3 linked regions of the Saccharomyces cerevisiae S288C genome follow. Changing the gene in region 3 together with the main gene of any one other region gives a genetic interaction. Each region holds a gene or a part of one and is shown on either strand. Other genes may lie near its edges.

Region 1 (3,971 bases), on a different chromosome or scaffold from region 3:
GCTTGTTCAAAAGGTTGGGCTTCCTGCACAGCGTCTAGAATAGGATCAGCAACGGAAGCAGTACGCATCTTCAATCTTGCCTTGTCATCTTCAGAAATCTTGACATCTGAGGCACGGTTCGCTCCGTCATGATCACTCGTGTTACTGATACTGGATTTCTTTCTAAAATGCATCATATTGCCTTGGTGTGCTGTTTTAACCTTGTTTGATGTTTGCTGTGTCTCTTGTGTTAGTTCTCTGCCTAGTGAAACCGAAAATGCTCAAGAAAGCGTACCACGAAAGTACTCCTTTCTTTTCTATTAATAAATAAACAAATAAATAATACAGGTTGCTTTGCCTCGATGGTAAAAGGAAAGAAAATTTCGGATCCGAAAATTTTTAGCGCATTCTCTGGGCGCCGTGCACCACGTCAATTTGACAGAGATGATGTTACGATTATTTGTATTATTGTATAAATATTTATATATATATGTGCGTGTGCATATACTGGCTTTCTATTTTTATTTATTAGATTCTTGGCAACAGGCAAGGATGGACTGCTTGACACTTTCGCAAGCATTTTTGAGTTCCTCTGGGGACATGGCGGCGTTACAGCAGATTTTCAAGCTAGGGACAATTGGTAGCGTCTCCTGTTTTAAAACAATAGTGTTTCTTGTGATGAGAACGTTGTAGTTAATAAGAGCATGATCTACTATGGACTGCAGAAATTTTTCCTCCTCTTCGTATGGCTCAATGAATTTGTTTGTCTGGGACTTCTTTTGCAAAGCTGACATGGTTTCGAATAGCTGTTCGCAGGTGTATCCGAACTTGCGAGACCTATATGCGGGAGTCAGTTGCAGATGTAGGACAGCAGACACTGGAGAGGACGTGACGATTACGTATGAACGCAAGGAGTCGTCAGATGCAAAGGAATCATGCAAAGATTTGGATAGTTTTTGCAGCGTCTGGACGGCGTCGTTGTTGGAGTCCATCAATTTCAAGACTTTGGAGACGGATGTGACGGTGTAAGCCGGCAAACAGGCAGAAAAACAATATGCATTGGAACCAATACGCTGGTGCAAACACATAACACTGTCACCCAGGACAAAACCACCGGTGGACCCCAACGCGGTGGCCATGGACCCAACGGTAATGTCAATGGCAGTTGCGCGATCCATGTTGAAGTGCTCTGACAACCCACGGCCCGTAGCGCCAAGAACACCAATGGAGAAGGTTTCGTCAACAAATAGTCTGAACTTGTACTTGTTCTTCAGCTTAGTCAACTCAGGCAACGGAGCTAAATCGCCCGAGTTGTGGAAAATACCCTCAGTGACGATAAATTTTCTTGGAATGGCGGGCAGTTTCTCAAGTTTCTCCTGTTCGGTCAACTCGTTTAATAAACATTCTAGCGAATTCATATCGTTGTGGTTGAAGTAGTAGACTGTGGATCTGCTTAGTTGCAGAGCATTTTGCACTGGTAATGACACCTGGTCGTCTGCCACGATAACATCACCACGCTTTGTGAAAGCAGGCAGAACAGAGGGTGCGGCACAAAAGTCTTGCCCGTACAGAACGGAACCTTGGGTGCCAAAGAACTGTGCTAAATCATATTCCAACGTGTAATGAACGTCCTGGTTACCGTAGAACCCGGCGGGACCACAGGCGCCCACACCGTAATTCTTGATAGTGGTCTTGACCACTTCTTTCACGGGCTCCGTAGCGGACAATTGCAAAAAGTTGTTCGAGGCCAAATTGAAAACATTGGTATACTTCTCCTGCAGGTTGTTTCTGGTGATAGTAATATGGTTCTGAATGGGCATTTCCATGGTGACGGGTGTTTTGGCCACCCTCCACGATTGCTCATCGGTGGCAGAAGGGTCGACTAGAGGCTCGGGCTCCCAGTCCTCAATTAGCGCGTCAATCTCCTGGGGCGATAGGTTGGGCTTCTGTGCTTGAAGACTCTTTTTCTGTTGTGGCTTGGACAAGTAATAGATGATCCCGTATAAAATAAGCCCTATCTCAACCGTGGTCCTGTATGGATCGTCATGATGCGATTTCTTGATGTACGAAACGATGAATTGGCCTCCCGGGATTTGAGTCAACACCAGATTGAAGTAGTACCATAGGTACGATGAGGTGGTAACAATAAATGCCGGAATCGGTATTGATTTGGGTAAAACCTCTGGGATGTGTGCCATTGCTTTTTTTTTTTGGGTGGGAAGGAAGAAAAAAGGATAAATAACCCTACACGAGCAAAATGTGTATATTGGAGGCCAGGCAGAAGGTTAGAGCGCTCTTATACTGTGCTACTCGATGATGTTGAAAAGAATTTTTTTTATTTTTCCTTTTCTTTTTCTTAAGTACTATATTTTCTCAATCTTACTTTCGTTCACTACAGTTAACCGCAGCAATATGCCCCTATAAAAAAGAATGAGTGAAAAATTTGTTAGCAGAGAAGCAAGAAGGAAAGAAGGAAAAAAAAAAGAAACCGTGTAAGAAATCATGGCGCCTCAAAAAAAAAAAAATACGCGAAATCGATTTCCGTATATGATGATACATATGTTAGGTCTCTTATGGTAGTTTTTAGGGTCTGTCCTGTTTTTTGAAGGCATTGGTTAGGGTCTAGTAAGTAACTCGTATAAAGAGATGTACTTTTATACGGTATGTGTGGCGGTTATTTCCAGTGTTTTTTTTCCCTTATTTTGTGGGTTCATGGAAATAGTACATATTGACCTTCTGCACAAGAAGCCATATTGACAGAGCAGTATGTGAGGACCTTTCTTCTACACAATGTAACAGTCAATGGTTGTAGTCAATACCACGACCTTTACGTGCAGTTTTAGAGCGAAACTTCGGTTTTTTGAGACTTACCTCGTGTTTGTGTCTCCCTGGGAATGGAGCCGCGCCACCCTTGTCTATTATGTATAGTCTTATTTAATCATAGCGATGTTGGTCATCCAGTACACTTCGGTAGCAACCTTCGTTTGTGATTGTCTTGGTAATTGCTTCCAACAACTTTATCCATCATTGAGACAGGGGCCATATCACCCGCGGGGTCTCAAAGAAGGGGCCCACTAATAAAAGCACGAGATAAGAATGCCAGCAAAAAAGCTCCGAAATAATTCTTTTCGTCTTCCCTCCTAGTCTTAACAAGACAAGAGAGAGAGAGAGAAAGAATACTCACTAGAGATTGTTTCTTTTCTACTCAACTTAAAGTATACATACGCTATGAAAGCATTCACCAGTTTACTATGTGGACTAGGCCTGTCCACTACACTCGCTAAGGCCATCTCATTGCAAAGACCGTTGGGTCTAGATAAGGACGTTTTGCTGCAAGCTGCGGAAAAATTTGGTTTGGACCTCGACCTGGATCATCTCTTGAAGGAGTTGGACTCCAATGTATTGGACGCTTGGGCCCAAATAGAGCATTTGTACCCAAACCAGGTTATGAGCCTTGAAACTTCCACTAAGCCAAAATTCCCTGAAGCAATCAAAACGAAGAAAGACTGGGACTTTGTGGTCAAGAATGACGCAATTGAAAACTATCAGCTTCGTGTCAACAAGATTAAGGACCCTAAAATCCTGGGCATTGACCCAAATGTCACACAGTACACGGGTTACTTGGATGTGGAAGACGAGGACAAGCATTTCTTCTTTTGGACTTTTGAAAGTAGAAACGATCCTGCAAAGGATCCGGTCATCCTTTGGTTGAACGGGGGTCCAGGTTGTTCTTCACTAACCGGGCTGTTCTTTGAATTAGGACCCTCATCCATTGGACCTGATTTGAAACCCATCGGGAACCCTTACTCTTGGAACAGCAATGCCACCGTGATCTTCCTTGACCAGCCTGTCAACGTTGGGTTCTCGTATTCCGGGTCCTCAGGTGTTTCCAACACTGTCGCCGCTGGTAAGGATGTCTATAACTTCTTGGAGTTGTTCTTCGATCAGTTCCCTGAATACGTCAACAAGGGCCAAGATTTCCACATCGCTGG
Region 2 (4,142 bases), on a different chromosome or scaffold from region 3:
TATGTTGATAGCCTGTGGTGCTATAAGTGCCTATAATGATCCATCTAAATTTGTCTTTAAGGGGTATAGCTTTATTCTGACTAAACGATTGGTCGTTAAAGGAGTACTAGTGACAGATAATATTGATGATTTTCCAAAGGCATTAGATAAATTGGGTTCTCTGGTTAAGCATGGTAAGATTGACCTCTTGAAATCCGCTACCCTTGAAGATGGTACCGGTGATAAGTTCAAGAATGTTCCATTGATATGGAAGGGTCTATTTAGCGGTGTTAATAAAGGTAAACTTATTACCAAGGTTAACAATGAGGAGTGATTTTACACAAAAAGTTTAAGATATGACTATATTATTTTTATTATTGTATCTACTTCGTTTTGGCTCTTATAATTTTTTAGTGGCCTAAATTTTCAAAGGAAAAATTTATTGAATATTTTGAATGATATTTAAACTCTATATTTTGAAATCTATACATTGAATACATATAAGATAAACTGTGTTGCTCTTATTGTATATCTAGCTTATAGGAAATAGGCTCTCGTGTCTCCTCACTAACGTAATCAGCAACACCGATGAATTTATTCCAAAATTTGTATACCTTCATCAAAGATAATTCCCAGATGTTCCTGGGTAAATCCAAATAGCTTCTATAAATAAATCTGAATGCTTCTAAAACGTTGTTAACTTCAGTATTCCAAGCTTTCTTCCATTTATTTACTGTACCGTTAGAGGGCCTTGGAACTATTTCTGCTTTGGGCATTTTTAAATCATCAAATACATGTGATTGAGAATTGTTAGTCTTTTTCTTTCCTTCTTTAGTGGAATTGATGTTCTCTATGGTGTAACGAATCGATTTGCCTGCCTCCTTCAAAATGTTGAAGAAGTTATTTTGGAAGAATGAGCTTAACCTGTTTTCAGAACCGTTTAACCTTTTCCCGTACATTTTTTCGAACATGTTAACAGATTCAATAGATTCAGATAATCTACCGAAAGTCTGTAATAGTGCAATCAACTCATATTTGGTTAACTTACCAACAATATGTTGTTTGGTGAATTCATCAGCGTCGTTGATTTCAAACAAAATTTTCAAGGCAGTTGCGTAACCGGTAGTTTGAATTTTGCCCCACAATCTACATCTATCACATTGCACACAATCCATAATCTTCGTGACATTCTTGAAGCGAGATCTGAATTCGTCCTTCAAAGTCAAACTTAGGTCGTTGGCAAAAACTAAGTCTTCGTTAAAAATTTTTGTGTCCAGCTGGGAAATAACGTTATCCATTTTGTTTTTGATTTCTTTATTGACTAGATCACAGAATGAAAATTCTGGTAAATATGGTTGAATTTTCCAGAGAGCCTTAGCTACAACAGCATAATTGAAATACATGTTTGTCACTCTATCAGGAAAGTTCCCGATTCTTGCCATAAACAAATCCAGATTGGGCTCCCATTTACCAGTTTTCGTGTTCAAATATTCCTTTGATAAGTGAGTACCGATAGAGGCATGGAAACCGGATACAAGTCTATAAAATGCATCTTTGGCCAATGATTCACCAGTTTCGCCAATTGTAAAACAGTTGTCTTGGTAGATAGTAGACCAAATTTGACCAGCTTGCTTACCACCATAACCTGTAAATCGTTCCGGATTTGCTGTTAAATCAATCAGAACGGCGTTTTTACCGTTAAAGTCATTTACATCACAGTAGTTGATGGTGTCTTCGATATCTACAGGTTTTTTACTGGTTTGACATAGTTGATCTAAGAACTTACATTCGTCATCGCTATCATCCGCTTCCTTCATTGTATCATTATTGAAACTACCCAAGATCTCAGGCTGCCAGTACTCAGGCAGTGTATCCCAGTCCTCTACGACATCAACAGAGCAAGCGCGGTTTAAGCACAGACCATCGTTGGCGTCCCAAAATGAACATTGCTTGTATAAATCCAGCCGAAAGTATTTGAAGAAATCAGATTTTAATAACGCCGAAAGATCATCTCTAATGTTTTCATTTATGGCATTTAATTCATTGAATGTTACGTTACAACTGGGACTAACGTGATCATTCCTGTCGACCTTACAAAAGTGAGTGTCATTAAAGGCATTTTGTGTTTGGTCGGTGGCGATGTAGCTATTGTTTGAAGTTGCAGATGTAAAAGCCGTGAGGCACAGTGTGGCAATGGCGGTTCTTAATCTCATGTTTTACCTGCACGTTACTGTGGTATATGCAATAAAATGTTTACACTCTTGAAATAGTATAACCAGTTTAAGTGGTAAACCTTTTCAAGCTCTTTATACTTAGCTTCAAGGATGATTGAACAAGTTTTTATGACACGTACTCCGTATCGTTTCTTTTTTGTTCTCTTCTTTTCTTTTTGTTCTTACTAACGCCCAAAGCCGGAAAAATGCGAAAAATTTCCAGGGTCTTCTATAAGAGAAACCAAAGGACAAAGGGAAAAGGACATACTTAGCAGGTAGCTCAATATTATTTGTTTAATTAGAACAGTCTTCTCTTTGTGTATGTCTTGTACCATTGTCTGTGGTATTCTCGATTTGTGTAGAATACATTTGCCATAAAATGTCAGTAGACCTTTTCTCTGATACGCAGTGAATATATCAATTCTCCTACATATCCTATTGTTCATTGAAAATATGAAAAGTAAGCATTACTCAATAGATAGATAAGAAAATGATCTCGTTTCAGTTGTGAATATGTTTCAGAAGAAATGTCTTGATAGTATTGGTAATGTAGGATGGGCAAACCATATGTAAGGTAGGTGGTTGGCAATTTACTTTTTTTGTGTTGCCAGTATGTATATATGCTTTTGGGGGGCCTTAATGTTTACCTTCAAGGTACGATATTTAGCAAGCATTTCTAGTTCTTTATGTGGTGAATAAGTAATGTGTGTGTGAACTATGGCTACTGGATGACTATATTCGGCATTAGTATTTAATAAGGGTACGACTCTGAAGTATCAGAGTTGCATCATTTCAGACACACTGGAGGGATCCTGTTATATATTTTGAAATAAATAATGTACAATTTTACGGGTGTACACAGCACAAAAAGGAACGTATTCTTACCGCCGTGTTCTTTCCATCACGAAAGTGACTTCATTGCGATGTATTTTTCAGCAAGAATTAAGGTAATAAGATCTCTTCACAAAGCTGACTCAAAAGGCCTACATAATGGCAGTAAGAAAAAGTAAACAGCGAGAAATAGTCAGATAAAAAACTAGATGGCGAATAGACGACATTTTAGAAGAAAAGTGTTTCAGCCTTTGGCCTCAAACCTCAGTGGCAGTCTTTCCCCTGATAAGGAATAGGAAGGCATGCAGCGATATATATGTTAGTTTTGCCTACGGGAATCCGGCAGCAATGTTATTTATTTTTGTTGTTTCTTATGATTTAATTATTATATACAGGTTCGTAAATATTGGCATGATAATGAGGAGAAGGTGGAACCAGCACACTACGTCGATGGAGGCCCTTAGAATATAGTGCAACACTTAAAAATGTAATCTAGTACTTTTTCTTCATTTTATTAGCACTGGGTTCTCGCAGTTTACTCGGTAGGAGGTGCAGTAGGACTTTGCAGTTGTTGATTGTCTTCTTCAAGTGCCTTTTGTTGGGTCACTTGTTGTTCGTACTTCTTACCGTTCATGTATAAAGTGTAAGCTAAGCCACCCGACATGTATAACGTACCACCAACCAACGTCAGTACCGTTAGACGATGTAATGTATCTGTAACTCTGGTATACCAAGCGTATTTGGACATGACTATCTGCGTTCTATTTTTTGTTCTCTTCCTCTCACCATTGCCAAACCGCTGTATAGATTTATGCTCCTTTCAATGCATTTATTCTGATCCTCTCCGATTTCGTATACCGGGTAACATTAATCGCAAGGAAGGAGAAGCAAAGCTCAGAAGTAAGGAAGAACTTCGAAATCTGCTTCCGAGAGTGAGGAAATAGTGTTTTCTAAAGAGTGTATTTCACAGTATGTAACATTATAAAGACAAAATACTTACTTAAGCAAAGTTATATAGAAGTGACAACGTGTTTTTTCGTTTTGCTATTAGCTTGTCCATTTTACGGTAAAATATACGGATGAAAAGAAAAATTGGGGAGAAAAGTACATTACGTTGAC
Region 3 (3,173 bases):
GAGTCCTCATATTCCGACAATGTTGAAAACGTTGATGATTTTGAGATATTTTGGGACTATCTTCAGTTCAAAACGTTCTGCCAGAATTCTCTGTATTCCAGTCGATATTCTGATTCACAATCAAACGGGCTTTTGAATAAGGAGCTGTTTGATAAAGTATGGAAACGTTTGAGTTGTAAAGAAAAAAAAAGTGGTCAAGAAATTTTATTGAATAACTTAGTACAGTTTTATTCGAAGGATACCGTAGAATTTGTAGAAAAGAACATATTTCAAAAGATAATAGAATTTGGTTGGGAGTACTACCTACAGAACGGTATGTTCTGGAACTGTTATTGCCGTTTAATTTATTTCGACACTTCTAGGTCATATTTGGACAAGAGGCAATATATTGTCAGAAAAATATGGCCCCAAATAGACAAAAAATTTGCACAGAGCGTCTTGCCGTCTTTAACAGAATTCTGTGAGTCATACTTCCCAGAGGAGATGGATACATTAGAGGAAATGTTTACTGAAGAACCTTAGCCAAAAGGCATTGTCATTTATTAAAAGGTATAAATATGTAAATGTATACTTAATGACCGTTAAGAAAAACTACTAGCCTCATCACTCCCGCAGATCTCTATAATTGTTGTTTGAATACTTGATACGGTGGAGTGGCAAGGACAGTCTGCGCAGTCCTAATATCGATATTGATGTCTTCGATCAGAGCTTCCTTAGTAGTGTAGTTCAATTCGGGTCTGATATGACCTAAAATATTGAACTTGACCCTGGCCCCATAAAAATCATTTTTAAAATCATGTATAATATGTAATTCCATGGTTTTGAAATCATTTCCGTAGAATGGATTTTTCCCAACTGAAAGTACCATAGGAAGTACGGACAAATCATCGTTCGCTTCACTTAAATATTGACCGTAATTATAAACCACAGTTCTTCCATCCCGCCTTGTTTCCACCGATAGTTCTTGACCATCAACAGTTTTAATGTGAGCAAACCCAAAGTAAACCCCTAAATCCAAATCGTTGATACCTTTAGGTAACTGATTTATAGGTACATTGGCAGTGGGAATACCCAATTCGGCGGATCCGCGGCCAAATCCACATACAATGTCACAATAGTCAGTAACAAGCGGGAATGGTGGACCTGGTTGCGCAGGTATTGGCAAATCGACTTCTCGTTTAAAAGTATCAATTATATCTGTATTCGTATTTCGGTTCATTAAGAAAGTACCTGCTAACACTAGCAATAACGAAACATAAATAGTCCACGTAAACATCAACACTTCAACAACACGTGTCTGTGACCGCTTCACGGGTCCAAATTACCACTTTCTAGAACATTGTCTTGTACGTCCAATAATAGTGTTACCAATGCTGACAGAGTATTAAAGCAACGATTTGAATTGACGCATTACCCTCCTGCATAAAGGACTACAAATACATCCTCTCTTATAACGCAATTGCAACATCTGAAGTGCAGTGTGATCAAGATATTCAATTCTCTATTAGAGTAACTTAATCATGTTTCACATGATCAGTATTCATTGTAAAACCTCTTGAGTGTGATTCGTTGCCAACTAACATAAGCGTGCGGATTCTTTAGAAAGTGGGTGTGCCGACCCTGGGAAAGATTGCATAATGTGAATCCTTAATGACTTACCCATACTCTTCATTAATAACCTATTTAGAAAAAGAAGAAAGGCTGTTTCGGAGCTCCTTTTGTGCTGTTTGCAAACTGTCTATTTTCGCATCAAGTTTTACCCATCTACTACTTTATTCGCTTTACGGTAAAAGCGAACACGACAAAATCACCTATCATCTACGAAGGGCCTTTCGAAAACAGAAGAATAAAAAGACAGGAAAAGCATCTGTTTAGAATTTTATAACTAATTTGGGGAGGTATCTGTAAAGTAATAGACAGGACCGGAAATAGTGTAAATACTCTCCTTTGTTTTTTTAGTTGTACCACTTTGAAGAGGGCTCGAGATTCACGAACAAAATGCAAAGGTTTTCACTAGTCACTCACAGATCATTCTCTCACTCCTGTGTGAAGCCCAAATCTGCATGCTCTTTGGTCAAACCAGTTCATCACTTGGTGAAAATTGATAAGTCAAAGTTATCCCCTAGATTTCCAGAATTGAAATATGACAAAAGTGATATTAGGTCACCTGGATTTAAACCAAAAGACACTCATGCAGATAGACTCAATGACCATTACCTTAACACTTTACAATCTGATTTGTTATTGATTAATTATTCACATAACGCTGCGGTGGTAAAGGGTCTAAAACAAAGAGCGTGGAGTGGTGATTCGCCATACCACTTGAACAGACCACCGAAAAATCCTCGAGGTTCGAAAGCTCAACTACCTGACATTCATCCTATCAAATGGAGTAACATTCCTGGGCTAGAAAGTGTTGTAATAAACTGTTTTGTTAGGGAAGCGAGAGAAAATCAGCTATTGGCTATCACCGCTGCGTTACAATTACAACAAATTACTGGATGTAAACCTCATCCAATTTTTTCCAAAAATGATGTTCCAACCTGGAAACTGAGAAAAGGTCATCAGATGGGAGCTAAAGTCGAACTAAAGGGAAAAGAAATGTCTCAGTTCTTAAGCACATTGACCGAAATCGTCCTACCAAGAATCAGAGAATATAAAGGTATAAGCAACCAGTCTGGGAACAGATTTGGTGGGATTAGTTTCGGCCTGACGGCTGAAGATATCAAATTCTTCCCTGAAATCGATGCAAACCAGGACTCATGGCCTAAAACTTTTGGTATGCACATAAATATAAACACCTCAGCTCAATTAGATTACCAGGCGAGAACTTTGTTGAGTGGGTTCCAGTTCCCATTTTTCGGAGAGGAGAAATAAGAATACAATCTCATGGTCCTGGCCAGTTAGCCATGCTCTATGGCAGAAAGGCAAAGGGCATATATAATTTCCCATTCGTCATGTAAATATATAAACTGTACAAGATACTATCTCTCTCCATTTTTCAATCATATAGTTCTCTTTGGGGCACTGAGATGTCTACAAATTGTTATAAAATTGGACGTCTCTTACACAACTCACAACTCAACTCTGTATAAAGATTTTTAGGAAAGAAAATGTACATAAAAGTGAATACTTGTTTAAAAATGAGAACAAAGATTCCTACGCAATTAAAA

The links.
Region 1: mutations in FMN1 (region 3) and LCB1 together harm fitness more than expected from each alone (negative genetic interaction), as found in Saccharomyces cerevisiae (2 studies listed by BioGRID).
Region 2: mutations in FMN1 (region 3) and ERO1 together harm fitness more than expected from each alone (negative genetic interaction), as found in Saccharomyces cerevisiae (2 studies listed by BioGRID).

The regions. Positions count from the first base shown.
Region 1 is NC_001145.3:858,715-862,685, forward strand, and holds LCB1 (serine C-palmitoyltransferase LCB1), read right to left. Parts: upstream 2,178-3,971; coding exon 501-2,177; downstream 1-500. Other genes in the region: GSR1 (Gsr1p), read right to left, coding at 1-176; carboxypeptidase C PRC1, read left to right, coding at 3,208-3,971. UniProt on the Saccharomyces cerevisiae protein: Component of serine palmitoyltransferase (SPT), which catalyzes the committed step in the synthesis of sphingolipids, the condensation of serine with palmitoyl CoA to form the long chain base 3-ketosphinganine.
Region 2 is NC_001145.3:10,983-15,124, forward strand, and holds ERO1 (ER oxidoreductin), read right to left. Parts: upstream 2,193-4,142; coding exon 501-2,192; downstream 1-500. Other genes in the region: YML131W (uncharacterized protein), read left to right, coding at 1-313; COX14 (Cox14p), read right to left, coding at 3,559-3,771. UniProt on the Saccharomyces cerevisiae protein: Essential oxidoreductase that oxidizes proteins in the endoplasmic reticulum to produce disulfide bonds. Acts by oxidizing directly PDI1 isomerase through a direct disulfide exchange.
Region 3 is NC_001136.10:934,617-937,789, forward strand, and holds FMN1 (riboflavin kinase), read right to left. Parts: upstream 1,277-3,173; coding exon 620-1,276; downstream 1-619. Other genes in the region: mRNA splicing protein PRP42, read left to right, coding at 1-522; mitochondrial 54S ribosomal protein uL5m MRPL7, read left to right, coding at 1,999-2,877. UniProt on the Saccharomyces cerevisiae protein: Catalyzes the phosphorylation of riboflavin (vitamin B2) to form flavin mononucleotide (FMN) coenzyme.